Linked DNA regions of Sus scrofa. The protein of the gene in region 5 interacts with the protein of the main gene of each other region in a pairwise test. Links are inferred from orthologs where the notes say so. Each region holds a gene or a part of one and is shown on either strand. Other genes may lie near its edges.

Region 1 (3,500 bases), on a different chromosome or scaffold from region 5:
GGTCCCCAGCACAACTCCCCACCTCCCTCCCAGGGCAGGTGTCCCCGCCCGGTGTAGGTGCCTCTGGAGGAAGACACCCAGGCCCTCGTGGGCAACACACCCTTTCACGGATTCCTCCTCCGGGGGGCTGAGGAGGGCTGTAGGGATTTGCGTGTGTTTGGTGGGACGGTGTGTATCAAGTTGCTCCTTTTTTCCACTCTAGAAGCAGAAGCAGCTCAGCAGGAATCTCGCTCAGGACAGGGCTGGATGGGGTGGGCTCTTCCACTGACTTCGTCCACGTTCTCAGAAAGCCACGAGTGCCGGCAGGGGCTCTGGAGTCTCACAGCTTCCCAACTGGGAGGAGGGAGACACCCCTGGTCCACAAGGGAGGGGCGAGGAGGGGAGCCAGGGGGCCACAGGATTGGGGGAGAGGGCCCTGAAGACCAGGAGGGGCCACCTGGCATGGCTGAGTGGAGGAGAGCCAACAATGGATGGAGCGGGGGAAGCGTAGAGGCGCCCCTCCCTGCCCCTGTCTGCCCCCAGCAAACCAGAGCTGCCTTTGTGAGCATCAACCAGCGACCCAGCCCAGCCCCACCGCCTGCAGGCCCCCTCTCCGCAACCTCCCACCCCACCCGTTCCTCAGCCCCGTCTTCCCAGGGGTCGTGAGAGGACGGCAGGCAAAGATGGTTTGACTCCGACCAGAGAATCCTTCCCTCCCCGCCTGGACGCCAACTCTGGACACAAAAGGAGGATCTGAGTGGAAGGAAGAGAAAAACATCCCACCATCTGAGCTGAACAAAATCCCCCCCACCCCCCACCCAAGAAGAGACGGCCGACCTCCAGCCGGGAAAGGAGGGCCGGGCCCTCGGGTGGCAGGGGGCTCGGCCAGGCAGCCAGGTCACCTGGAGCCCCAGAGGGAATCCAGAGCCAGACAGCCCCCAGGTTCCCTTGTCCTTCTCTCTCTTTTTCTTTCTTTTTTTGTTTGCTTTTTGTTTTTTGTGGTGGTTTTTGCACAGTCCTTCTGGACGTCATCCTGCTCTAACGCTTCTCCTGCTCCCCCGCCATGGCCGCAGGCTGGCCTCACACGTAACACAGGTAGAGGTACGTCTTCTCTATCCTCCAGTCGGGCGGGATCTCCTCGGGCTTGTGGCCCTTCATGTGCTTCTGCATGGAGGACAGGCTGGGGCAGTACTCCGTGCAGATGGTGCACTGGTAGGGCGAGGCGCCGTTGTGGGTCCGCAGGTGCTTGATCATGGCCGAGTAGTCCCGGGAGCGCTGGTGGCACAGCTTACACTCGAAGGGCTTCTCTCCTGTGGGGGGAGGGAAGGCGGGGCAGTGAGGGCCACCCCAGGGACGCTCGGCACCCTCAGGGCACGCCCCCCCCCCCCGGGCTTGCTGGAGCCTTTTGGTCCCTCTGGGACGGTGCCTTCCACGGTGACGGAGACACCACCCAGGGTGGCAGCCACAACTGTCACAACTGGCTACTGAGGGCCTAAAAGGTGGCCAGGGCAATTGCGAACCCCGTTCTTTTTTTTTTTTTTTATAATGAAAGTATAGTTGACTTATAATGTTGAGTTCGTTTCTGATGTACTACATTCTTTTTTTTTTTTTTTTTTTGGCTTTTAAGGGCCGCACCTATAGCATATGGAGATTCCCAGGCTAGGGGTTGAATTGGAGCTGCAGTTGCTGGCCTACACCACAGCCACAGCCAACTCGGGATCCGAGCCGCATCTGAGATCTATACCACAGCTCACAGCAACGTCGGATCTTCAACCCACTGAGTGAGGCCAGGATTTGAACCTGCATCCTCAAAGAAACTATGTAGGGTCTTTAACCCACTGAGCCACAAAGGGAACTCCTACATTCTGCATCTCCATCACTGTAACTCATGTAAAGAGCCACCCCTAGCTGGGGCCATGGTGTTGTCAGCACCACTCCAGCTGCTGGCCTTCCTCTTAACCCACTCAGGGCCACAGACTCTCCCCTTCCTAAGAAAGGAGACAGAAATGTAGACAAGGGGCAGTACAGCCTCCTTGGTCCTTAGGGATGGCTCTTTAGCACACAGTTCCTTCCAGGGAGCAAGGGGATGGAGTCCTTTCAGGGCTACAGATGATGGGGAACGGCAGTGAAACTGGGGGACCCCATCCTGCAAATATGCTACACTGGGGGATGGCGACTCCTCTAAGGCTCTAAGAACCTGCCCTGGACCCTGCCTCCCCCTTGGCAGCTAGAAGAGGGAAGGGACCGAGAGCCTGGGAATGAGTGACCACACCCTCGGGGTGACAGCCTGTCCCGCTGTTACAGTCCCCTGGAGCCTAGCCGAGGATACAAGGGAACCTTGTTTCGATACAGTAATTAACTGGCCAGCCATCTCGCTATCGATACTCCTCCGTGCAGAGGCCCCTGCAAATAATGAAGTAATGAACAGCCAAAGTGATCTAACTATTGACTGGCTATTTACGATCGTCAACGCCAATGCATGTAACGATCCGTCTGCCAGGTCACGTCTCTGACAAGGGGCTAGGGAAGCCCCAGGGCCCTGGGAAATCCTGGGGGTCACTCCAGTTGTCAGCGACGAGCACCCCATCCTCTCCTGGTGGCCCCAAGCAGAGCTCTGAAAACACACATCCTCTGCTTACGGCTCCCTGGGTTCACCTCCCCTCCCAGGTAAACACACTCTCCGCTGGGCCGGCAGCACCGGCCTGATCACCTCTCCGCCTCCCTCTGGCCAGGCAGCTGCTTCCCCTGATCAGGAGCGACTTCCTACTTTGCCACATTCCACCACCTTCTACGACCTCCCATCCTCAGACGAGGCCTTGTGAATATCTAGCCCCCCGACCAGCTGTGCGGTAAATGTTTAACAACAGGCTCTCCCCAAAGCCCTGATTTTGTAGCTGGTGTTGACAGCCATGTTGTGAATACGCCCCACTGTGGCTGGTTTTCAGCCACTAACGTGACAGACTGAACACAGGGCTGGGATGAGACGTGCACTTGGCCCCCAGAGGCAGGCTTGGCCCAGCTCTAGTGTCCCACACCCTCAACTCTGGCAGCTCTGGCCATCGGGACCACTTCCACTTGTTCTATCTTTGGGCCCCAAGAAAAGAGCCCCTCGCATTTCTGTAAAAAGGAATGTGACGGCCCGGTGAACGGGTGAAACATTACACTCAGAGAGGGGTTAGTAAATACATCTGCTTCTCTAATCTTTGAACCAAACTCCATATAACTTGTAATTTTTCCCAACCCTCATCATAACCTAACTTAAGGTCCCCTAGCTCTTACTCAAACCCTCAAGCACAGGAAATCATCCCAGCCTTCACTTCCAGCTAATCAGGCACCTTCACTTCCCTCAATCAGGAGTCACAAATGGACATCATCTGCGAGCGATTGGTATGGCTGCCTGGAAGGCCAGTCTGGGCCCCTGGAAAGGGTGCTGTGATTGATTAGCAATGTCTGCCTTGCCCTCGCCCAGAGGAAGCGGCACTCAGTGTGGTCACCACACTGAGCCTTATTGGCAGTTGTTC
Region 2 (3,941 bases), on a different chromosome or scaffold from region 5:
ATGAACTCCACATTCCAGGTACCACCAGAGAAAGCTGCCAAAGACTACCCTCTAGAGCATTCAGGCTTTTCTTAATTGGAGATACCCTTGATTCAGATAAAATTGGAGTCCAAACCCCATGTATACAACGGATGAACAAGAGCACGTACTGTTTGCTGTGAGGTGGGAACCTGCCGACCCTGTCTTTTTGGCATCACTTTGCCCCCATTCTCATCCCTGACACCTTAAAGACATTCCCAAGAATCCTAAGCTAATGACAGTCCCAAGAATCCTAAGCTCCATGGAGCTCCCCAAGGGCTCTATGGGGTAATTTGAAAACCTCTAGGAGTTCCCTGGTGGCTCAGCATGTTAAGGATCCCCCATGGCCAAAAAGAGAAAGGAAGAAAGAAAATCTCCAATGGAGTCCAATCCCCTAGTTTCACGTGAAGGGAAACTGAGCCTGAAGGAAGGGAAGGGACCTGGCTACCACTGCACAGATGATCAGAGGCAAAACCAGGACTGGAATCCAGGTCTCCCAAAACCCAGCCCAGTCAGGGCTGTGCAACTTCTTGGTTGTGGTGAATGAAGATGATTGGTCCTTGTTCTATTTTGATTTTCTAAGTAAGGCCCCCATCTCCATCTTCCCGTATGAAGCGTGAAGCCAGGCAGGGGAAACTGGGGTCACCTTGCTCCTGGGCCAAATGAGGCTTCGGAAAAGGATCTTTGAGTTTTCTCTCATCTCTGACAGCTCCTTCCTGCCCAGGAGTGTGGGTGGGAGACAGTCACCCACAAACTTTTGGTCAGGAAGGCTGGGCACAGAGGGGGTGCCTGCAGGGTGCAGAAAGTCGATTCCCCTGCATTGACCGCTGGGAAGGTTCACCCCAACAAAAGGCTGCCCATGCCAGGGAGCTATGTGGCTGCCGGGGAGTGGGGGCAAAGGGCCCCAGTCTGCAGGGCCAGGGGCAGCAGCCACAGCTGAGCCTGTAGCCGGCGCACCCGCTCCAGGTATACCACACTCACAAGCCTCTACACGCCTCCGCTCCTCACCACAGAACTACTGGCAGAATCACGAACACAGGATGCATGCAAGCACACTGACGTGCTACATACACAATCTTATGCAAACATCCACATACGCATATACACACCCACGTGCATATAAAACACACAGACCCCTCCCCCCCACTCCAACCCTCACCAAGAGCGTCCATCCACAGGCAGAGGCACGCCCACCACATACAACCACACACACAAAGCACACAGGGCCTGGCTGAGGGGGGATAAAGGAGGCCAGCAGGGGGGTCAAGGGACAGGATGGAGGATCAGACGGAACAAGAAGAAGCTGCTGTCCTGCAAAGGCCAACTCTGAAGACAGAAAATAGGACATTGAAGCCATCCCCAAATTCCCTCCTCCTCACCCATAACCCACTCCTCAGAAGAAGAAGAAGAAGAGAAGGAAGAGGAAGAGGAAGAAGAAGAAGAAAAAGATACATCCAGCCAGGCCCACCCAGCCCAGGACTGAGTGCCAATCCTTGACCTGACTTGAATTTATCCTGTGACCTTAGCCGAGTCCCCTATCTTTGCTGAGCCCCTATGTGCTCATCTAGAATACACCAGTCTCCTGGGGCCTTAGAGGACTGGGGAGCCCTCCCTGACTCCCAGCCTGGCGGAGTAGAGGGGACAGAAGTGTTTTCTGAAAGACCCAGGGACAGCAGAGAGATGAGCCCCAGACTCCAGCACCCCCAGTGGGAAAATGAGGTGGGAGGACTCAGCGAGCGAGGAGAGGCCCCGAGGGTGGTGGGGGAGGGGCCCGGCTCTTACCTCCTTCTCAGCCTTGGCCTCTTCCACAGTCACAGTGCTGTGATTCTTGTGCTCCTGGAACATGCAGAGGTAGCAGATGCAGGTCTGGTCCGTCTGGCAGAAGAGCTCCATGGTCTTGCCGTGCAGGGGGCACTTGCGGGCCTCGAAGTCCCGGATGGGCTCGAGCAGCTGGTGGTCGCGGAAGGCGGCGCCCTCCAGGTGGGGCTTGAGGTGCAGCTCGCAGAAGGAGGCCTGGCACACCAGGCAGGACTTGACGGCCTTCTGCTTGTTGCCGATGCACGAGTCGCACAGGACCTCCTCGGAGCCCGACTTGGAGCGCAGGAGGATGCCCGAGTCGGCCCGAGGGTAGCTGTTCCGCCGGACCTCCCCGGGCTCCATGATGGACACGGTGGGCTTGCGGGGCTCCGAGAAGATGGACCTGCGCGGCTCCCCCTTCTCGGCGAAGGTGACAGGCGGTTTCTTGGCCCCCAGCTGGAGCCCGGCGTAGGGGGACCTCTTGCTGTCCGCAGAGTCCATGCTGAAGTAGCTGGAGGTCTTGTCATCCACGGACTCGACAAACTGGATGATGGGCCGCCGCCACTCGTTCCCGGAGAACAGGGAGCTCTTTCCCTCGCCCGGCTTCAGGGCGCCGCCCAGGCTCTTGCTCTCGGCCGCCTCCCCCGCGTGCCCGTTGGTGGTCTTGGCCTCTTTGCCTTCGGCCTTGGTCACGTTCTCCAGGCTGCCGTTAGGGCCCAGCGGGCTGCGGGCATCCCTGGCTTCCGGGCTGGCCCCGTTGCTCCTGGCGGCGTCTGCGGCTTCCATCGCGGGTCACCTGGCTGGTCTGGGTCGGGCTCCCTGGAGGTGTGGGTGGGTGACCTCTCCGGCGGGCGTCTCGGCGGGGAGTGGGACAGGCAGCCGCAGAGCCCGAGACACACCTTCAGGGAGCGGGGAGGAGGAGGAGCGGAGAGGAGGGGCCGCTGGGGCTGACACAACGGGGCCGGGAGAGGCGGCCGTGGCTCCCGGAGCCAGCAGAGCGGCTAATTATACAGGGGGGCCACACCCTGCACATTCATACCTAACCTGATTTTTTTTAAAGGGTTTTTTTCTCCCCCAGTTTAATTGTTTTCCACGGCTCGGCAACCAGTTGGGCTGCTTCCTTCTGACGCACTTTCTTCTCATCAGGAAAGTGGGAGCCTCTGTCCTCACCCGTGGGCAGGCTTCGCTGAGCCCAGCGGCCCCTGGGGCAGAGGTGAGGTGTCCGCAGAGGCCGACGGGACAGAGGGTTATTAACTGGGTCACACAAACCAAATAGCCTTGTAATCAGCGGGCCTGGGTTTCAGAGGAAGATTGCCCTGCCCTGAGAGAGCGGAGTGGCTTCTCACCCTAAAGGGAGTGATGGGTTCAGTTTGATTTGGATTTTAGGGTTTGGAGCGAAGTGGCTACTCGTCACTGAACTCCTCCTGCCAACTGCCAGGCCCTGTGTTAGGTGCATGACCTAATGATCTCTGGTAATCCTTACAACAACTATTTCAATTGTCCCCACTTAATAGATGAGAACACGGGAGCTCTAAGGAAATAACTCGCTGGCCTAAGTCAAGAGGTGGAGCTGATATTTGAGCCCAGGTTCCCTTTTTCAGCGCAGGTGTCAACAGAGCCACCTGAATATCTCAATGGAAGATGGCTTTGAAAGGCCATGCCTGTCCCAGAAGCCTTAACAAGACGCATACAGATTTTCTGTTAATGCGATCAGAGCAGGTCAGAACCTGCTTGGATACAAAGGCCAGAGAAACAGTAGTGAGGGGCAGGAATGCAAGCAGTGCCAGCCAGGTGGCTGTGTCCTCGGGGCCCAAACACTTCATTCTCATCTGCCTCCACGGTCAACTTGCTATGTGACTCAGAACAATACCTGTCCACCCTCTCTCTTCCAGGCCATAGGCAACACCCTCTCTCAGATACTCTCAGAAGTGACAGAATATGACTATCATACAATCCCAGACCTCAGGGAAAAAAAGAGAGAAAAACTAAAGACTCTAGACTCTTCCTCTCTCTGACCACCTCCAGGAACACTGGGGACCCTCCACTCCTGCCAGGATAGGCCACCTGGTCCCTTCTGGGCTGCGACCCACTGCCATGGTCCTGGGAATCCAACACCCCCAGCACAC
Region 3 (3,989 bases), on a different chromosome or scaffold from region 5:
AACCAACCAACCAAAAAAATGACCTTAACAGATACCTCACCAAAGAAGTTATACATATGGCAAATAAGCATAACTTGCAGTGGGTACGGCAAAACAATGGAGTAGTTGGGGCAACTGGCTAGCCCTGAGGTAAATACTAAAATTAGATCTATAATGGATGCCACACACACACACAATTCCAGATAAGCTAAATACTCATGCACGAAAAACACATCTTAAACATTTACATCCCTGCTGGACTGTAAGCTCCTTAACTTATAGTCTGTCTTAGACAACTGTGTAATCCTTCCTATTCAGAATATACAAACACTTAGATAACCAAAAATCTTTTTTTTTTTTTGGTCTTTTTAGGGCGGCACTCAAGGAAATGTGGAGGTTTCCAGGCCAGGGGTTGAATCAGAGCTGCAGCTGCTGGCTACACCACAGTCACAGCAACACGGGATCTGAGCTGCATCTGGGATCAACACCACAGCTCACAGCAATGACAGATCCTTAACCCACTGAGCGGGGTCAGGGATCAAACCCGAGTCCTCATGGATTCTGGTTGGGTAAGTTACTCAAAAGACTTTTTTTTTTTTTTTTAAATTGGGAAGGGGAACTCAAAAGACTTTTTTTTTTTTTTTTTTTTTTTTTTAAATTGGGACGTTCCTGGGCCAGGGACTGAAACTGGGCCACAGCTGGGATCAGAGCCACAGCCAAGATAATACTGGATCCTTAACCTACTGAGCCACCAGGAAACTCCAAGGATTTCTTAAACAGTATACTAAACACCACAAAACATAAAAGACAAAATTGTTAAATCTGTCAACAATAAAACTAAAAACACCTGTGTGACAGAAGACTCCATAATTAAAAGACAAGCCAAAAAACTCTGGGAAATAGATATTAAAGTTTGGGGGAGTTCCCATTGTGGCACAGTGGCTAACGAATCTGACTCGGAACCATGAGGTTTCAGGTTCGATCCCTGGCCTTGCTCAGTAGGTTAAGGATCCGGCATTGCCGTGAGCTGTGGTGTAGGTCGCAGACGCGGCTCAGATCCCTAGTTGCAGTGGCTGTGGCATAGGCCGGCGGCTACAGCTCCTATTGGACCCCTAGCTGGGAACCTCCATGTGCCACAGGAGTGGCCCTAGAAAAGGCAAAAAGACAAAAAAAAAAAAAAAAAAAAAAAAAAAAAAAAAAGATTTGGGATGTGTCAGAACAAACTAAATAGAAAATGGGTAATTGAAAGAGATAATTCATAGAAGACAACACCTAGAGAGATGATAAACACACAAACAAGATGCCTAGTAATCCTGGACTCAGGAAATTGCAAATTAAAATAACGTGCTATTGTTTCACACCCATTAGATCGGGCAAATAAAAAAAATCTCATACAACCAAGATTGTGGGTAATATAACAGGAAATAAAAACTTTCAATGCTCTTACAATCCACTGTGGAGAGCAAATGGCAATAGGTAGTTAATTGATGAAGAACTTCTAGGAGTCTACCCTAAAATTCTTAAGGCAGTGCACTAAAGAATGATAACTGCAGCGCTGTGTGTAAGAGGAAAAAAAGTAACAAAACAGCTAATTGTCCCTCAGCAGGGAACAAACTCCATATAATAGACCTCATAAGCAGTTAAATTAATAAGATCTCCATGTATCCAAAGGCACTTATCAAAAAACCACAGAGTTTAAGGAAAAAAAAAAAAAAAGGCAGGTTACACAAGGATAAGTACCTTATATTTAAAAAACAGGAAAGAAGTGATATTATTTTCCAAATATCTTACTGAAAAAACTCTTGACTTTTCAGTCTGACTCCCTAAACAGGTACAGTGTTGCTTCATCCATCTGCACTCACTGGAATCAAACCTATCCTTTAAAGATCAACTTGAGTACCCCAGTCTGAAGAGATTATTCAAAGCGCTTGGTTTACATCACCTATGTAACAGTATTAGGGGTGCGAAAGACTGCACACTTGCTTAGAATAGGTCTCTTTTTGCATGAATCACGTCTACTATGAGTTCCTTAAGGTTAGGGGTACTGTCTCTGTATTAAATTTAACAAATACAGTCACTGCGTTGGTTGAAAGGGATTAAAAAGTTTAATAAGAGAGGGTTCCTGCCTTGAGGAATCTATGAGTTTATGATGCAGTAGAGAGAGATGGACACATAATTACAGTAAGAGTTATAAAAGCATAAACAGATTATGGATAACAAAACTGGGATTGTATCCCGCACAACGCCTTCCAAACAGCAAGCGTTCACTTTATTTATTACTCTAGTTTATTGGTGGAGGCCAAGGGAAGAGGATGCTTGCTGTAGGAGTGAACCGACAGGCTCTAGGAACAAGATGAGGTGGAAATAGTGTGGGTGTTTTTTTCCCTTCTAGGCAACGCGATTGGATGCGAGTTTGATGGCGAAAGAAATAGGGGGCAAGGTCTTAAGGATCGCTGGGGCTGAGGTGGTGGGCCCGGGGTCGGTTTGGAATATGCTAGGGAAACAAGTAAGATCCGACTGGAAAACAGCTCAACACAGTACCTTTCTCATTGCGAACCGGGACGGCCCCAGCCGTAGACTGAATAGGCGGTTGTTTCATGAGTGCGCTTGGGACCGACATTTTGATGGCAGCGGCGGTGATTCCAAAACTTGACTGATTCCAAACTGTGAACAGGTACAACGTCAACGAACAGAAAATCCTCCGCACCAGAGGCCACTGGACACTGCTGCGTACTGATAGAAACACCACTTACGGCTGAGCTAGAAAAACAGGAAATGTACGACTAGAGGATTGTGGGATTGTGGAGGACGTCAGGGAGCCAAAGTCCGTGGAGTCTGTTACTGCGCATGCTCATAAACTCCCTGTCGACCTTAGTCTCGCGGTATTTGGACGCCACTTCTGGCGGGAAATGGCTCTCTGGACTTTGCGGTTAAGACTCTGAGGTCCGCGGAAGACCCGAATTAAAGGTTTCGCTGATTAGGTTCGTTTGAAGCCGAGGAAAATGGCAAAGTGATGAAGAAGAAACCGAGGAGTTAGAGAAGGACAGTGTGTTCAGATTGTTGAAAGCTAAGAATTAGAGTTAAATCGAAATAGAAATCCTGCTAATAGCACCTGATTTTCTCACTTGATGAGACCGAGCGGTTTGTAGTGCGATATTTTTGGGTTACGTCAGGGCAAGTGGTGCTAATTTAGACCAGTGGCAGGAAAAAAAAATCCCCTAAACGGCTTAGAACAATGCCTGAAATCCAAACACTCTTAGGCGTTTCAGTTCTTTCCTTTCTAGAGACTGCCTATTAAAACATATTCTTGGCTGGAATGGTTGTATATGAAAGTCCATAAGTAATTATTAAGCACTTGCTGTATTTACCTCGTTTAGCTCTAAGGAGTATGGAGCATTGTTAAAAGGCTTATGTCTTCCAAATACTTGAATTTTATTTAGGAAGTCTTCAAGGGCTTTTACAGTAATATCAGAAACAATCCCAATTTACTTGCTGGGCTGTGTAAAAAACATAGGCTAATTGAAAGTCAAAACACATTCAGTGTAGAAAGGATTTTATAACTGCTGTGGTGGGGAGGGAAGGGACACATGAGCAAAGTCTTGAAGTACAGAAATTGCATGGTATATATATTAGACACTATGAAAAGTTTGATTTTATCAGTAATTTTTCATTTGAGGAGTGTGAAAGTTCCTGAAGGGCTTTGAAGGATTCGTTCTAAAATTATTTCATCTGTGTTCTAAAATTGGGCTTAGGCTGGGAGAAATACAATTGAGCAAATCTCCATTAAGGAACAATGGATGACTCAAGTAAGCCATCAAAGGAGCAATTTTGAGCTGGAAAGAAAAGGACTGTAAAAATAGAGCAAATAGAAATTTGTATTATAATTTTATCAGCTTCAAAACCGTGCTATTCAGAAGGAGTAAATCTGATGGGAAGGCAGTTAGTTGTTTCTGCTCACGGACATCTAGAGAATAGAAAAAAAAGTTTGATATGACTGTAACTCTTAAATG
Region 4 (4,191 bases), on a different chromosome or scaffold from region 5:
AGTGACAGCCTCACTTAATTCTGGAGTAGCTTTTGCTCAAAGTCTACATAAACAGCTATTACATTTTTAAAAACCACACACTGGAATTCCCACCGTGGCTCAGCGGAAACGAATCCGACTAGGAACCATGAGGTTGTAGGTTTGATCCCTGGCCTCGCTCAGTGCGTTAAAGATCCGGTGTTGCCATGTGCTGTGGTGTAGGTTGCAGATGTGGCTCGGATCCTGCATTGCTGTGGCTGTGGTGCAGGCTGGCAGCTGTAGCTCTGATTAGACCCCTAGCCTGGGAACCTCCATATGCTGCAGGTATGGCCCTTAAAAGCAAAAAAAAAAAAAAACCAAAAAATAAAAAAATAAAATGAATTAAAAACCACACACTGATTCAAAATATCATGGTCTATAACTCTGATCTCAAACTTAGGGAGAAAAATAGTAATTCTTCTTACTTATGTCATCTCCCTTTGAAGTTTCTCCACATGTACCCCAAAAGTGCTTTTAAAAAGGGGGGAGGGAGTGGTTTGCAAACGAAGACACATGGGTATGCAAAAACAGAAGGTTTTTTAAAATCACCTTTACAGTTAATATTATTTGTCAATTATCAGCCTCCAGAGACACAATTAACCATAAAGATAACTTTTATCAATTAAGCATTAAACACTTGTTTGAAAAAACAGAAGTTTTTCTCCCATTTTGCAGCATGCTCATACAGCAGTAACCAAATTGGCACAATTTAAGTGCTCAAAGTATGTTACATTTTCTCCCTCAACTTATTATCACCTATTGATCATCAGCTTTCTGTATTAAATTCCAACTTTCTTTCCTTCCCAGGGAATCCTAGAGCAAAGCCAGAAGGGTTGGGGTACCCTCCTATGCTAACACCATACCCTTTATTAAACCATAAAGAGGAGTTCCCACTGTGGTGCAGAGGAAACGAATCCGACTAGGAACCATGAGGTTGCAGGTTAAGGATCTGGCATTGCTGTGAGTTGTGGTGTAGCTCTCAGATGTGGCTCAGAACCTGCGTTGCTGTGGCTGTGGCGTAGGCCAGCAGGTGTAGCTCTGATTTGATGCCTAGCCTGGGAACCTCTGTATGCCACAGATGCACCCCTAAAAAAAAAAGCAAAAAAAATTTTAAACCATAAAGAGAGATGCATTTGCTTAAAAAAAACATACAAGAAGCAAAAACAAACAAAAAGCCCCCTTAGGATCAGATGTGTTTAGAATTCATAATTTTTTAGAAAGGAATAGTCTGCATACATCCTGCAAATAACACCCTTTCTGCAGCAAAATATATGTACAATCACACTAAATGAGACACAAAAACTGTAAATAGCCTCAGAACAGTTTAGAACAGGTTCTGCCAAGAAATAAGTTACTAAAAAACACACATTTTCAAGAACTCTTTGTACTTGGGGATTGCAAAAAGGAGACTGTGGGCCTATTCCAAGACACCAGTACTATTTGGTGAGCCTTAACATAAATACCACCTATCAATGTAGGTCATTTTGGAGACATTAAAAAATGTAAATATTTGAAAGCCTCTGTGAAGAGAAAGATTTCTGCAGAAATGAGCAAGACCACCACCCAGCGTTCCAAATATTTCAAGGATAATCTGCCAGGAAATGAGTGGAGGATCCACAGAGAATCACCAAAAATTAAGATGAAAGGGGAGTCTTAAAGGTCATCCAATCCAATTACCCAGCTATTTGAATCCCTAATCATCTCTGCCCATCCCTTCCTGGCATGACCCTGGAGCTCAGCTCTCCTCTACTGCTTTCACCAACTACTTCCCATCTTACTCCAGAGCAGATTAAATTGCTCCACTTCCCTCCCATTAATCTTTATTACTGCCAAGTAGAGAATTTACTAAACCCTTCTACAGTTATTTAAATGTCTGTTTTCCTCTCAGACTCTGATTCCTTAAGCCAGTGATCATGTCTAATTAATTTTCGAGTCCTCGGCAACCAGCACATAGCGAAGAGTCAATAAACGTTTGTTGAACTGAATTAGATTTGTCCTGTAGTCCAGGCTCTGTCATTGCCTAATTGAGTGGCTTGGGGCACTCCCTTAAGCCTCTGCTTAGCTGAGAAAAGGGATGGGGGTGTCCCTAGATGACATCGTCAAGTCCCATTTAATTCTAGGAAGTTTCCGATTTACGAACTTCATTTTCTAGGCGCTGTCCAACTAAGCACATAAGGGAAAACCGCAGCTTAGGTGCAACAGGCCTGGAAGGGATCCCTCGGGAGTGGGCGCTGCTTCTCTACCACCCAGTCCTCTGCTTTGTTGTGTCCTCCGCGGGGAAAGGAAGGATACTCCCCAAACCCCGCCTCTCCTCCTATGAGCATCACCATACGGATGGGAGGGGACTCGTGCCACCCAATCGCGGTCCCGCTAAACCGCGCCCCCACAGGACAGACTGCCAAGCCCCGCCAATCAAGAGAAGAGGGATCGTTCTCTACATCCAGTCGGAGAGCGGTAGAGCCGGGCCTAGACACCGCCCCCACACGCGGGGAGGTGACCGTTGGGCCCAAATGGGCGGTGTCGCCAGCCAATCAACATGCTTCTAGACGTTTCAGCGACCAATTGCCGAGAAGAACGCCTCCGAGCCAGGCAAGCAGAGGGCGGGAATAGGTGCAAGCATAGGCCGAGGCCACAGTCGGGCCCACATTTTTCTGTTGGGTATGGACAGAAGCGAGGGTTGCTGAGCTAGGTTCAGGGAAGCGGGAAGTTGGAACCCAACCACTGTGAGGCGTGGCCAACTGCGTCACTCTTCTCAATCGACTGCCCTTTAGAAACCCGCCATCCCTCCTGTCCCGTTCCTCTCACCTTCCTTCGCGGCATTGCCGGCGGCTGCGGCCCGACGGTTCCGATTCGGGCAGCGGCGGCAGCAGCAGTGGGAACGGTGGCTCCGGCGGGCTCCGTGGCGGCCTCTGTAGCAGTCCCAATCCTGCGGACGATCCCAAGTGCCTCCTGCTTCACAGCGTCTAGACCTTTCTGCGCAGGCGCCGCGGGCTGAGGCGCTTTTTCCTCCACTTCCGGCTGAGGCTTGCGTCACCTGACGTTAGGGCCAGAGAGGATTCTGGGAGGTTTCCCCCTCCGGTGAGGCTAGCGGGAGCCATTTTGGAATTGGGCAGAAAGTGGCAGCGACAGTGGAAACTGGGGCCCGCCATTTTTAGTTAGGGGAATGGCATCCTCTGTAGGCGTGGGTAGCCATTCCTGTTTGGGGCAGAAGCCTGACAGTTGAAGTTAACAGTTCTCATCTTTACAATGGGCAAAATTTCCCTTCCCTTTGGTTTTAATTTCTGAAGTCGAGGAAAGAAAGCCCCAGAATCCATCAGGTTGCTGAGGTTTAACCCCTTAGTCGCCGAATTGGCTAAAGGACGTTTCCCTTTATCACATAAACTCAAAATTGGGAAGGGCTATTTTGCACAAGAAACTATTTTAAGAGCCATTCGGTGTCTCACAGTGCTGGGAATGGGGGCTTGTGAAAGGACAGAAAGAAGGTAGCGTCCTTCATGAAGAAGTTTCTTGTCTGGTAGAGGAGACATTGTCCTTGCCTTTAGCGAACCGCAAGTATGTTGATCCGTTCACTCGCGAAAGGAGACACAACCATTCTCCAGAAACTGTTGCTCCAAAGAATTACCAGTTTAGCTCTGTGGTGAGCACACCCACTTCGTCCCCTCATCCTGTATGGGTTTGAGAGCCTTGGGTGGCCCTCGGGATGAGTGTGTGTGTGTGTGTGTGCGCGCGTGCGCGGTACCAGAGTTGGAAAAGCATTGAACCCCATTAGCCCAAGTGACCTCTCGAAATCCAGACGCTTGAGTCAGGAGTTGGAGGAAGAGGAAGGAATATTTTTAGTAAAGCTGGAGCTCAGAAAGGCATTGATGTTAGCTGCCTAGAAAGGAGAAGTTGGTGGAAGATGTAAGGTTGGCAGAAGAGCGGTAAGAAAAGGCTGAGAAGTGAACAGCAAGCGTTGAGGATTTAACCTCGCTGGGAGAAAAGCCTTGTGTGGAGTAAAGCTTTGCCCAGAGACTGGGAGGAAAAAAAAAAAAAAAAAATCCAAGAGTCATTAAGTTAGGATCCTGGAGCCCGTTTCACCTGAGGCTAGCTAAGATGGAGATTTCCCCCTGGAGCTGAACTAAAGAACAAAGCAGCAGAAGGTAAACATCTGATTGTTGTGCTAAGCAGAGGACT
Region 5 (3,500 bases):
ATTTATATCTTCTAATCATAAAGATTAATGACACACAACTACAATTACTGCTGCTATATGTTTAGGAGCCAAAAGCTCTGTGTGGATATACAAGTAGATGTCTACTATGACTCGTAAGAACAAAATGTTCTATAAATAATGTTGTGCACTGTGAATGACCAAATTACACATATTGTTCCCTGATAGCTCTTTAAATAGAAAGAATAACATAACTGTTGCCAAATTCTGAAAGTAGTTGAGAATGGCATTTTCCAAAGTATGTGCTACATAACATCAGTCTACAGAAATATTCATCAGATTAGTGTTAAGTAAGTAGGAAATACTATATACTAAAGCCTGCTTTTGGAGACTGATGGTATTGTGAAATCTTAGAATATTGCTATCATGTAATAGTCTTTAACCCATCATTTCCCAAGATGATTTTATTAAAGAAGGCTTTATTAAGTTTTTTCACATTTGTAAATGTGGGATTCTTTGACATATACTATGAAAAACACTGGTTTCAAATATTTCAAGTTTACCTGTTTTTCAGTCATGACACTGGTTGATGATTTGCTGGATTCCTGGGCTTTAGGGGCTGCTGTAGATACAGTTTCTTTTGTAGAATCAAAAGACATAAAGACTGGCAATAAAAAATTGTGAGTTGCCTAAATTAAAAAAGAAAAAAGAGCATTAAAAGAAAAAGGTATTGAAAAGAACCTACTACTCATAGGCAATTTAAGCATTCCCGTGTCAAACTCTTATAACTTCTAAGAAACCGATTTTTAAGAATTTTATAATGGAGTTCCCACTGCGGCTCAGTGGTAACAAATCCAACTAGTATCCATGAGGATGTGGGTTCAATCCCTGGTCTTGCTTAGTGGGTTAAGGATCCAGTGTTGCCATGAGCTGTGATGTAGATCACAGACATGGCTCAGATCTGGCATGGCTGTGGCTGTGGCTGTGGCTATGGCTGGCAGCTGCAGCTCCAATTGGATCCCAGCCTGGGAACTTCCATGTGCCACAGGTGTGGCCCTAAAAAAAAAAAAAAAAGAGAGAGAGAGAATTTTGTAATTTTATAATGTTCTCTTCTAGAAATAAAACATAGAGTTTTACACATACACACAAAGAAAACTATTTGTTTTAAATAGATAACGTGAAAAGCAAGCAATGCTAACAAATAAACTTATTTTTTTGGAAGCTGCTTCCCAAAAAACTAAAAGAACTGTATCTGATCCAAGGTTACAGGCCAGTCTAACAATTCACTAGATTAACTCTAGGGCAAATGAAGTGCCACATTCTTAGGTGGTCTCTTTTTATAAGTGGATCAAAAGCTAGCAACAGAGGATGCTGTTTGGCACACATAAAATTTATACTCGGTCTACCCTCTCATCAGTACTCTTGCTGCCTAAGACTCTGCCATTCTATAGGAAAAAGTTTTTTTGGATTCTTTGATATCTAATTCCTCCTTTCCAAAGGTACAATCACATACGCTTTCATTAGCATGATGGAATCTTAAGAGTTTGAAAGAACTTTGGTAAATCTCTAGCTGTACATAGCTGGCAGGACAGAGTGTTGGGAGAACTGTACCAATATATCAGGTGCTTTAACTATCTGAGACCGAGAGAAATAAAATGATCTTCCCAGGACTCACTAGAAGTAGGCTTCCCTGCCTCAGTTCCATATTTCTTGCAAAGCATCCTCTGTACTCCTATGACTTCTTCAGATATTGAAATCCAACTAAACAATTTTCTAGTCACCAATAATTCATTTTAAGCTAAACCTAGTAACATGTTACAAATTATCAAATTCTGCCATTTTTGCTGCTTGACATCATAGAGTACTCTCTCTCCTTAAACTGTGGCTTCCTTCAACAACTCAATCACCCACTATTTTCATTCTCCACCCCCCCAAACTTTTTTTTTTTTTCAGCCTTTTCAAGGGCCGCACCCACGGCATATGGAGGTTCCCAGGCTAGGGGTCTAGTCAGAGTTGTTGCTGCCAGCCTACGCCAGAGCCACAGCAATGTGGGGTCCGTGCTGCGTCTGCAACTACACCACAGCTCACGGCAGTGCCGGATCCTTTGTCTTTTTAGCTATTTCTTGGGCCACTTCCGAGGCATATGGCGGTTCCCAGGCTAGGGGTCAAATCGGAGCTGTAGCCACCGGCCTACGCCAGAGCCACAGCAACGTGGGATCTGAGCCGCGTCTGCGACCTACACCACAGCTCATGGCAATGCCAGATCCTTAACCCACTGAGCAAGGCCAGGGATTGAACCTACAACCTCATGGTTCCTAGTTGGATTCGTTAACCACTGAGCCATGACGGGAACTCCCCAAACTTTGTTTTAAATATACTTTTGCAAAATATCAGCCAACTTACTACCTTTTGGCTAGTTTTTAAACTTTTTATCAGAACTTTTCAAAAATACATAGGAGTAGAGAAAGAGTACAATGACCTCTTAATGAAATAAGAGTATTTCATTAATCCAACTTCAGTGATAACCAATATTCTTCCATACTTATTTCTTCTTCACTCATAGTTCAATATACATCTCTAATAAATATACTCTTTTAAAACATAATACCATTGTCACAACCAACTATATTAAAATAATTCCTTACTATCACTTAATATCTATTCCGTGTTCAATTTTCCCCCCAAATGTCTTAAAAAGTCTTGATGTTTGTTTGTTTTTTCAAATCAAGTCCACATACAGCACTCCTAATTTTCTCTTTATCTGTAACAGTCTCACTCATCTTCTTCCACTCTCTCTTTTTTTAAAAAAACCTGCCATATTTGTTGAAAAAATACGCCATTTGTCTTACACAATTAGCCACATTTCAGATTGGGCTTGTTGTATCCATATCATTTAACATACTTCTTCATTCCATATGTTTCTTGTAAAATGGTTACATGTAGAGGTTTTATTATATTAGGTTCAGTATTTTTTGGCAAGAATGCCTCAGAGGTAATGCTGTGTTCTTTCTACTGCACCACCATCAGGACTCACCGAGTTTTAAAGTAGGAAGAATATGTCTGTAGACCAGACATAAGGGAGGCGAATATCAATGTAAGAGAATCCCCAAAGTGTGAGAAGCTACATATTCTGATAATCTTCCCAACAGCCACACCAGATCTCTTTCAGATCTTCAAAGTGTCAGCCCCCTCTAGGTTCAAAGCCCTAGGCGCTCTTATCCTCTTCACTTGGTTAACTCATACTTGACCTTCAGATCTCGATTTAAATTTCCTTCAGGGAAATCCCCCCTGATCCCATGACTAGATTGGGTCCTCTTGTTATATGCTCTTGTAGCACTATAAAGAGTAAAGTATAAAGGCTTAGACTTCACAGTCCAATGGCTTGAGTGACTATTACCTTAATCATTTATTAAACTGTGTGATATGGCCAAACTCATTAACATCTTTGAGCTTTGATTTCTATCTTCGTAAAAGAGAAAACAGAGTACTACCTGTATCTCATAGGTAGACAACATATAGGATTAAGTTAAAAAACATATAGA
Region 6 (3,985 bases), on a different chromosome or scaffold from region 5:
ATTCTCTTGTTACACAACAGAATGATTTAGTCAGGAAAATACCAATTTGGCCCAGAGAATACACTCCTGATTTGATTCCCTGGGTTACAAACACGTCCCACTATTCCAAAGTAGTTAAAGCGAAAGTCTGTGGAAACTGGGTTTTCCTTTTTTTCCAATTCTTAAAAATTACCTTACAAACTATTCATTATCTACAATGATGCATGCTATCACAGCAATTCCAATACAGTAAACATTATCACCTAGTCTGTTCCCAGGAAAACCTGGTGGTAGTTAACTGAGAAATAAAAACACTGCCTGCTCTATCAGTAAGCAAAGGATGTCAGTCATCAGTGATTTCAGCCACCTCCGATGGTGAGCTGGTGAGCCCTGAGCGAACACAGGCAAGAAACACCTGCCAGCCAGCAGCCACACCATATAGTGAGCCCTGAGGAAACTCAGGATGGAAAAACAGGGGATACTGGCTAGAGACAGCTGAGGTGCACATCAAAGACGTTATTTCAGTGAACCCAGACCTTGGCATCTTCTCATACAAAGACATGTGCTGAATTCCTTAACTTGAGGTTATCTGCCCTTCGTTACAGGACCCTCCCCTTGTCACCCTGCAAGAGTTCTCTCTGGGTTACTTGAGATGCTGCCTCCTAGACTTAAATCCTCATTTTGCCCCAAATAAAACTTAACTCACAGTTGTGCATATTTTTTATGTAGACATTTTTTTAGAAAAACACTTACCTTTGATTCTCAATTTCCAAAGCTGAATCAGAAACTGTTGTACAATTGTGAGAATCCATCTTGATATATAGTCTTCAAGCTCCTCTCAAAATTGTCACTTGTCCTTTGCTTTAAACAGACTTCTGACCATATGAAATCTGGTAGATGTGATGTAGTTTCCCTGAACAAATAAATGCCAACAAAACAGCTAGGATCAGAGTAATGCAGATATTGATGTAGTCAATTACGAAAATTAAGACAAAAATGAATGTAAGGCCTTTAATATTCTCATATACAACTGTCTAATTCTAACATCTAAAGATTTTATTCATGGGTTCTTTCAGTTGTGCCTACTTAATCCATCCTATAGAACAAGATTCCAGATTTCCTACAGGAGTGTCAAACTTCTTTTCCCTAACAGTAAAAATGTAATTTTTACCCTTAGCCATACAGTCATGTAGTTACAAATAGTAATGTTCAATTAATGGCCAAAAAGCCATTTGCCAACAGTGGTGGGAACCAAGAAATCTCTTGCATAACAAAGATTAAGTCCCACAAAGGCAGCCTTTGGCCTCAGTATACCCAGAAAAATTATTTGGACTTACCTAAACCTAACCTTCAGGTCTGCAATTTTCATTTATGGCCTCTTTCCCTCACTAGATTTTAAGTTACTGTGAAACCCCTTCCTTGATAAATTACTTCTTTGCTACTATGGGTGTTAACCCAAAGTTCTGAATTCTCACTTTTCAATGTACAGACTACAATAAATGGTGCCCTTTGTCTCCTTTAAAAAAAAATCTCCTTGGAAGATTTTACAGTAGTTTGGGAAAAGTATTAAAGATGTCTTATTTTGTTCTGTTTCATTTCCTTATGAGGATGTCATCATTCTTCATTTTTTTGTGGTGTTCTTAGTCTAACATTCTTAGTAATGACACATGAGTAATGATGAAAGAAATCCTTCAGCAGCAGTATTTGAAATCTAAGAAATCAATAAGATCACCTAGATCTTAAATTCACAATGTCTCATGGACTCGTGTGATAATTTCATAGTGTTTTATTGCAGTTTTCAAAACTGCGTTAACCTAAGAAATAAATCATGAAAACAGCCTAAAAAAGAAATTCAACAAAAACTGGATCCAATGGCAATGATGGAATACCTGACATTAAGTTTAAAATAATTACAGAGCACACTATCAAAATTAAGTAAGCTTAACTCAAAAATGTTTTTCAAGAGTTTCTATTGTGGCTCAGTGGGTTAAGGACGGGACGCTGTCTCCGTGAGGATGCGGGTTCAATCCCTGGCCTCACTCAACGATCCCGCGTTGCTGCAAGCTGCTTGGGTCACAGATCCAAATCGGATTCTGCATGGCTGTAGTGTAGGCCGGCAGCTGTAGCTCCGGTTCAACCTCTAGCCTGGGAACTTCCATATGCTGCGGGTGTGGGGATAAAAATAAGAAAAAAAAACTTTCGGGAACTAGAAAGCATTCCTATCGCTTCCTGTTCCGGGATTCTGCAACAAGGGGCCACGGAGCCAGGCAGTGCTCTTTAGCAGCTTTAACAAAATCCCTTCAACTCTTACTTAGTGCGACCTTGGGGCGAATGTCTCCAGAAGTGCCTAACCTCGTGCAAGGAAAATGGCGTCGGTAACGGTTACCTCGCACTTAACCACCACTAATTGAGAAAACGTGCACTCGCTTCAATACACTTGCACTTCAACACCCACAACTCCGATAACGGCCCACGCGCTTAGCCTGTACCTGTGAGTCCTGCCGCCCAGAGCAGAGCCCACAATCACCGCGAGCCCTCCGCTCCCGCTGAGCCGCGCAGGCGTCCCGGGAAAAGTGAAAAGCGCCAGGCCCTCCCCCTCCTTCGCCCACAAGGCCCCGGCGCCCAAGTCCTCTTTCCTATCCGTCCAGACCGCGGACGGCTTATACCAACCTGTGCCCGCTCTGCGCACGGGTCTCCGTTGGCGTCCTCGGTTGCAGCCCCGGCCTCAGAAACCCGCGTTGGGCGCGCAGGCCCAGAAAACACCCAACCTCCACAAACGCGCGGAAGAAAAGGCTGGGCTAGTCCCGCGTCCCAGCTAATAGTGGCCCCGAAGTCTCGCGATAACAATTTGACTGCAGGAAATAACAGAGAGATAGGAGAAAACCAGACGCGGCGCTCCATATTGGCTGCCGCGAGGGGCGGGGCGATTTAGAGTGGGCGGGACCTGAGCTTTTTAACCCAGGGGAGGCGGACTTGACTGAGGCCAGGCCAGGCTTCTGGTGTACGCGTCCTGAACCGGTAAGGTAAATGGAATAGTCAAGAACGTTTGGGCAAACTATGAAAAAGAAATTGTGGGGGCAGGGGAACGGAATGAATGTGAACTGCGAGGAAGAGCCACTTCTCCTGCTTTGACTCCAGTGGTCTCCCTTTGCTGAGCTGTCCTCCGACTTTCCAAAGTCTGATTCCGGGTGTGTGTGTTTGTGTGTGTGTCTACTTTTGCCTTCAAAAATCTCTTCTGTGTAAAATTGTGAGAGGATCATGCTGTGACTGAGAATCGAAATGTGTAACCTTTGTACTAGAAGCCATTGTTATCCAGTTACGCACTCAGTTCCCTCTCCACCTTCGGACTTGTTTTGTTAACTCAGTCTTTCTTTTGGAACTAAGGGTCAGCCTCCCAGGAGGTGGTTAACACATCGCAAGAGATGCCAGCGGGGGCCTTTTTTTTTTTTCTTTTTAGCCCTCTTAGTTCCCTGAGCGGTAAATGAGTGTTAAGGTAGAAGTTAAACTAGTTTAGTTTTGGTGGCAATTTTTTCCCCCGAAGTAGTTACAAAAAAGGAATGAGCTGTCCTGATTTGTCTACTTTCAGACCTCTTGTATCATATAATAAAACCAGGAAAGCTGTCTCGTGTTAATTTGTGGTTAGTGTCATCTCGGGATAGGACAGACCTGGAAGGTAATCAGGTTTCTTTACTCAATTTTTCTCTAAATGTTGTTCTAAATTCCAGGCGCAGAAAGTCTGGTTTTCTAGGCATTATGAAGTACTGTCAGCTCCAGGACAGGTATCACATGTCTTAGTCACTGCTATATTCCTAGGCAGGCCTGCATATGCAGTTTGTGAAGCTCAGTACAAAATGAAAATGCATGTATTTTATATGCATAACTGATTCACTTTGCTGTAAACCTGAAGCTAATAAACATGGTAAATCACATATACCCCAATAAAATTTTATTCTATTTTATTTATGTTTTTTAGGGCTGCAGGTGCAGCATATGTAAGTTCCCAAGC
Region 7 (4,135 bases), on a different chromosome or scaffold from region 5:
TATTAGGAAAACGCAAATCAAAACTACTCTGAGGTGCCACCTCACACTGTTCAGAATGGCCATAATTAGGAAATCTACAAACAAATGCTGGAGAGGGTGTGGAGAAAGGGGTACCCTCCTACACGTAAATCAGTCCAACCACTGTGGAAAGCAGTAGGGAGGTACCTCAGAAAACCAGATATAGTAGTACGGTATGACCCAGCAATCCCACTCTTGGGCATATATTCAGACAAACTTTCACTGAAAAAGACACACGCACCTGTATGTTCACTGCACCACTATTCACAACAGCCAAGACGTGGAAACAATCTAAATGTCCATCCACAGACAATGGATGAAGAAGACGTAGCACATATGCACAATGGAATACTACTCAGCCATAAAAAAGAACAAAATAATGCTATTTGCAGCAACATGGATGGAACAAGAGACTCTCATACTAAGTGAAGTAAATCAGAAAGAGAAAAACAAATGCCATACATTATCACTTATATCTGGAATCTAATACGTGGCACAAATGAACCTTTCTACAGAAAAGAAACAAACTCATGGACTTGGAGAAGAGACTTGTTGCCAAGGGAGTGGGAGTGGAGAGAGAATGAGATCCTGCCGCACAGCACAGGGAACTATGTCTAGTCACTTGTGCTGGAACATGACGGAGGATAATGTGAGAAAAAGAATGTATATATATATGTACACACACATGTATATATGTTTAACTGGGTCACTTTACTGAAAAGCAGAAATTGACAGAACATTGTAAATCAACTATAATTTTAAAAATTTAAAAAAAAATAAAATCAAAGCTCCTTAACACTCCCCAGATATCTATACATCTGGACACCAGGTTAGAGACCTGACAGGTTTGTACTTAGCACCCCGACAGTAACCAACTTCTCTTGACTGCTATGTTTCAGTACTCTTCTTTTTTATTTTAAGGCCGCACCCTTAGCATATGGAAGTTCCCAGGCTAGGGGTCTTCCCACATTGCCTACGCCACAGCCGCAGCAATGGGGGATCCAAGCCGCGTCTGCGACCCAGACTACAGCTCACAGCAACAACGGACCCTTAACCCACTGAGCGAGGCCAAGGATGGAACCCACATCCTCATGGATCCTGGTCGGGTTCGTTAACTGATGAGCCACAAAGGGACTTCCTCATTACTCTTAAGAGTTCTCTAAATTAGCTATATGATTCCTTCTGTGTCCCTAAATACCCCTCAGTCACACCTGAAAGCAAGGTGCTCCCCCAGCCCCAGCTCCATCCATGACTGATGGAGAGGGCAGGACCAACTTACTTTCTCTTGTCGCTTCTCTTCTTCGTACTCTTTATTGCCTCTGCTCAAGCCTTTCCCTTCCTCTAGCAGCTCCCGAAACAGATCCACAGGGCCAGACCTTGGGGCTCCTGCTTCTGCTGCTTCAAGCGCAGGCAGTGAGTTCTGATGCCTAGCTTTCTTCCGCAGGAATTCCGTGCGGGCCTGGGGGAAAAGAAAGTTACAGGCAGAATATTCAGAACCTAGATGTGATTCAAGGAACAGTGAATCTAGTGCCAACCACAGACGGGGGCTGTAAGGAAGGGAGCAGAGGCACTCGGAGCCAGGAAAGGCACCTGCCCCAGCTTCGAGAAAAGGTGGAGAAATAAGGCAATATCTGGGTTTGCAAGCTACCTTTCAAACAGAAAACCAGAGGGATTCCGAATTTCCAGTGACACAATAAAAACAGCTATTAATGGAGTTCCCTTGTGACGCAGCGGGTTAAGGACCCCGCCTTGTCACTGCAGCAGCTCAAGTCGCTGCTAAGGCTCAGGTTCAGTCCCTGGCCTGGGAACTCCCACATGCGGTGGGCACTGCCAAAAAAAAACAAACAGAAAAACCGCTATGAAGGCAACCAAAACATGTATTAGAACAGGTGATCTGAATTCCAGGTTGGGCTTCGAGTCACTATCCCCGGTTGGTTTGCAATTTCTAGTGATAAATGAGAATTTTAAAAGCCCTAACTATCCCCCAGCCAGTGCTGACCACCAAATTAGCTAAAGGACTGGAAGTGAGGTGTAAATCAAACAGGTGAGGAGTTACAAAGACTGCCTCTGGTGTTTCTGTGTGGCCGGCAGTGCAGGCAAAGGGCTCGCCCGATAAAACTGAATTGCCTTGTTCCACTGTCATTTCGCTGTGGCCTCCTCTCTGAAGGCATCTCACCCCTCTGCAAAATAGAAATGATAGCGCCTCCTCTAAGAATGAACGGTGCTTGAGATATTTTGCAAGTCAAGCGTTCTGCAGCAGGCGCTCACTAAATGGGGACTTTGCGCAGGCAAACTGAAAAGTAGCCCGGGTTTCCTTGAACTACTCAGGGCTTCGTTTTTTCATGAGCTCCTACTATGGCCTCGAGAAGTACAGGAGCGGGGGAAGAGCAAGAGCGGCGAGAGTTCAAGGAGAGCTAATCAAAGCACTAGGAGAAGATACTTCCAAAGCACCCAGCCCCAAATTCCCCACGGTGTGCCCTGCGCCTGCGCGCCGCACCGCTTCCGGTCCCTCCCGAGGAGCCTGCGCGCTCAGCCCCGGAGCCCCGGCCGGGCTCGGTGCTTACCTCTTGCTGAGCGAGAAGCACCCTCCGCTCACGCTCTTTCTCTTCCTCCCGGGCTTGGGCCTCGTCACGCCGCACGCGGGCCACATTGTCCTTGTTCCGGACGTGCCAGCTCTTCTTGGGTAGGATATTCATGGCGCCGTAGCTGTCCGCGAACTGGCAGGCCCGCCTCCTAGCACTTCCGATTGGCAGGAGGATGGCCCCTCCCTGTTGTTTCTGCCTCGGTCACGGATTGGTCCTAGACTACTTGGCACGCCCCCCCGGGTCCGTAGCAAAGGCTGATTGGCTGAGACCCCCACCTCCCATCGCGGAGCATCGCGCGTGCGGTCGCCCAGCGACGGCCTCTCCTGAAGATCCCGAGTCCATCACAAGTGTCCCCGCCCTGACGCTGCCGAACGCAGCCGCTGATTGGCTGACACGCCCACCAGGTGTTCTCGAGGAAATGCCCTCCACACCAACCCTCCCCGGCCAACGCATTTGATTGGCTTCTGTCTCGCTGAAGTCTTGCCCCCGGCTTCCGGACACAAGTTTCAAAAAGCGTTCAGCAGCCTCCGTTGTGTTTATTGATACAAGAAAGGGGTTCACTGGAGAGGCAGCGACCCCCAGGGCTGGAAAGGCATGGGATGTTCTCCAGTTCTTTCATTTTCCAAACGACGCGGCCGAGACCTTCAAAGGATCTGGGGGTGGGTCTCTGTCTGAAAGCGAGACGTCGTCACCCTGAACCAGGCTGGGAAGGTCAAAGAGCTCCGTTGGCCGAGCTCAGTGCCACAGCGCGCTGTGCCAGGAAGACTTTATTCTGTGCCTCCTGGGGTAAAGGGTAAAGAGAGGTGGAGGTGAGACAGATCTCTAGATTCCCCGGGACCCCTTGCCAAGGACCCGGCCTGACTCACCGTCTCTATCTGGCGTTTGAGCTCAGAGATGAGGCGTCCATATGAGTTAGCCAGGGCCACAGTATATGCCATCAGGATGCTAGAGGAGACGGAATGAAAGCCACTCCCCAAACACGCTTAGTGTATCTTCGACGTAAGACTCTTTTAGAAACCAGGGGCCCGGACCTCCTTCAGACTCAAGAAGTCTAGTATCCCAGTTCCCTTCTTCCCGCAGACCCAGAAGTTTGGGCCCCCAGCCCCCTCCGTTCTCGGAAGTAGGACCCCAGATCACACGTTCAAACCCGGATGCAGGAGTCTGGGGCCCTCACCTGGATAACAGCAGAAGGGGCACAGCAAATGCCTGGGTCCCCAGGAAGAAGAGAAAATTCTGGGCAGTCTCGGGGAGGCTTCCGATAGACTTAGGGATCTCGGACCAGATGGACAACTGCCCCCGGAATGGACCACACAGCTTAGAAGGTGGGATCCTGAAGTCAGAGACAGACAGGCAGAGCTCCAGGATGGCCACAAGTCAGAACCTTGGAGGGAAGTGGGAAGAGGGAGGGAAAGAGAGGCAGGTGCCTCTCACACTTACACGAAGATGCCATATAGCACAGGAACGGCGGAGATGGCCAGACCCAGGAGAAGCACCAGGGGGAAAAAGAAATTCACAGTAGAGGCCCGAAATGT

What was found.
Region 1: the proteins of CEP70 (region 5) and ZBTB16 interact in binary tests that used the Homo sapiens proteins (3 or more experiments, as listed by UniProt). The two-hybrid records come from large-scale screens. The link is inferred for Sus scrofa from reciprocal best matches to the Homo sapiens genes CEP70 and ZBTB16.
Region 2: the proteins of CEP70 (region 5) and TRIM29 interact in binary tests that used the Homo sapiens proteins (3 or more experiments, as listed by UniProt). The two-hybrid records come from large-scale screens. The link is inferred for Sus scrofa from reciprocal best matches to the Homo sapiens genes CEP70 and TRIM29.
Region 3: the proteins of CEP70 (region 5) and MFAP1 interact in binary tests that used the Homo sapiens proteins (3 or more experiments, as listed by UniProt). The two-hybrid records come from large-scale screens. The link is inferred for Sus scrofa from reciprocal best matches to the Homo sapiens genes CEP70 and MFAP1.
Region 4: the proteins of CEP70 (region 5) and KAT7 interact in a two-hybrid assay, tested with the Homo sapiens proteins (2 studies listed by BioGRID and IntAct). The two-hybrid records come from large-scale screens. The link is inferred for Sus scrofa from reciprocal best matches to the Homo sapiens genes CEP70 and KAT7.
Region 6: the proteins of CEP70 (region 5) and TAF1D interact in binary tests that used the Homo sapiens proteins (3 or more experiments, as listed by UniProt). The link is inferred for Sus scrofa from reciprocal best matches to the Homo sapiens genes CEP70 and TAF1D.
Region 7: the proteins of CEP70 (region 5) and LENG1 interact in binary tests that used the Homo sapiens proteins (3 or more experiments, as listed by UniProt). The two-hybrid records come from large-scale screens. The link is inferred for Sus scrofa from reciprocal best matches to the Homo sapiens genes CEP70 and LENG1.

The regions. Positions count from the first base shown.
Region 1 is NC_010451.4:41,831,536-41,835,035, reverse strand, and holds part of ZBTB16 (zinc finger and BTB domain-containing protein 16), read right to left. Parts: intron 1,290-3,500; coding exon 1,060-1,289; 3' UTR 1-1,059. UniProt on the Homo sapiens protein: Acts as a transcriptional repressor. Transcriptional repression may be mediated through recruitment of histone deacetylases to target promoters. May play a role in myeloid maturation and in the development and/or maintenance of other differentiated tissues.
Region 2 is NC_010451.4:47,281,305-47,285,245, forward strand, and holds the start of TRIM29 (tripartite motif-containing protein 29), read right to left. Parts: upstream 2,801-3,941; 5' UTR 2,602-2,800; coding exon 1,801-2,601; intron 1-1,800.
Region 3 is NC_010443.5:127,740,218-127,744,206, reverse strand, and holds the start of MFAP1 (microfibrillar-associated protein 1), read right to left. Parts: upstream 2,801-3,989; 5' UTR 2,600-2,800; coding exon 2,521-2,599; intron 1-2,520. UniProt on the Homo sapiens protein: Involved in pre-mRNA splicing as a component of the spliceosome.
Region 4 is NC_010454.4:25,969,766-25,973,956, reverse strand, and holds the start of KAT7 (histone acetyltransferase KAT7), read right to left. Parts: upstream 2,801-4,191; 5' UTR 2,192-2,800; coding exon 2,159-2,191; intron 1-2,158. UniProt on the Homo sapiens protein: Catalytic subunit of histone acetyltransferase HBO1 complexes, which specifically mediate acetylation of histone H3 at 'Lys-14' (H3K14ac), thereby regulating various processes, such as gene transcription, protein ubiquitination, immune regulation, stem cell pluripotent and self-renewal maintenance and embryonic development.
Region 5 is NC_010455.5:79,359,441-79,362,940, forward strand, and holds part of CEP70 (centrosomal protein of 70 kDa), read right to left. Parts: intron 648-3,500; coding exon 522-647; intron 1-521.
Region 6 is NC_010451.4:26,164,483-26,168,467, forward strand, and holds the start of TAF1D (TATA box-binding protein-associated factor RNA polymerase I subunit D), read right to left. Parts: upstream 2,801-3,985; 5' UTR 2,650-2,800; intron 893-2,649; 5' UTR 792-892; coding exon 733-791; intron 1-732. UniProt on the Homo sapiens protein: Component of the transcription factor SL1/TIF-IB complex, which is involved in the assembly of the PIC (preinitiation complex) during RNA polymerase I-dependent transcription.
Region 7 is NC_010448.4:55,969,250-55,973,384, reverse strand, and holds the start of LENG1 (leukocyte receptor cluster member 1), read right to left. Parts: upstream 2,801-4,135; 5' UTR 2,715-2,800; coding exon 2,583-2,714; intron 1,478-2,582; coding exon 1,298-1,477; intron 1-1,297. Other genes in the region: TMC4 (transmembrane channel-like protein 4), read right to left, coding at 3,316-3,384, 3,470-3,548, 3,778-3,933, 4,041-4,135.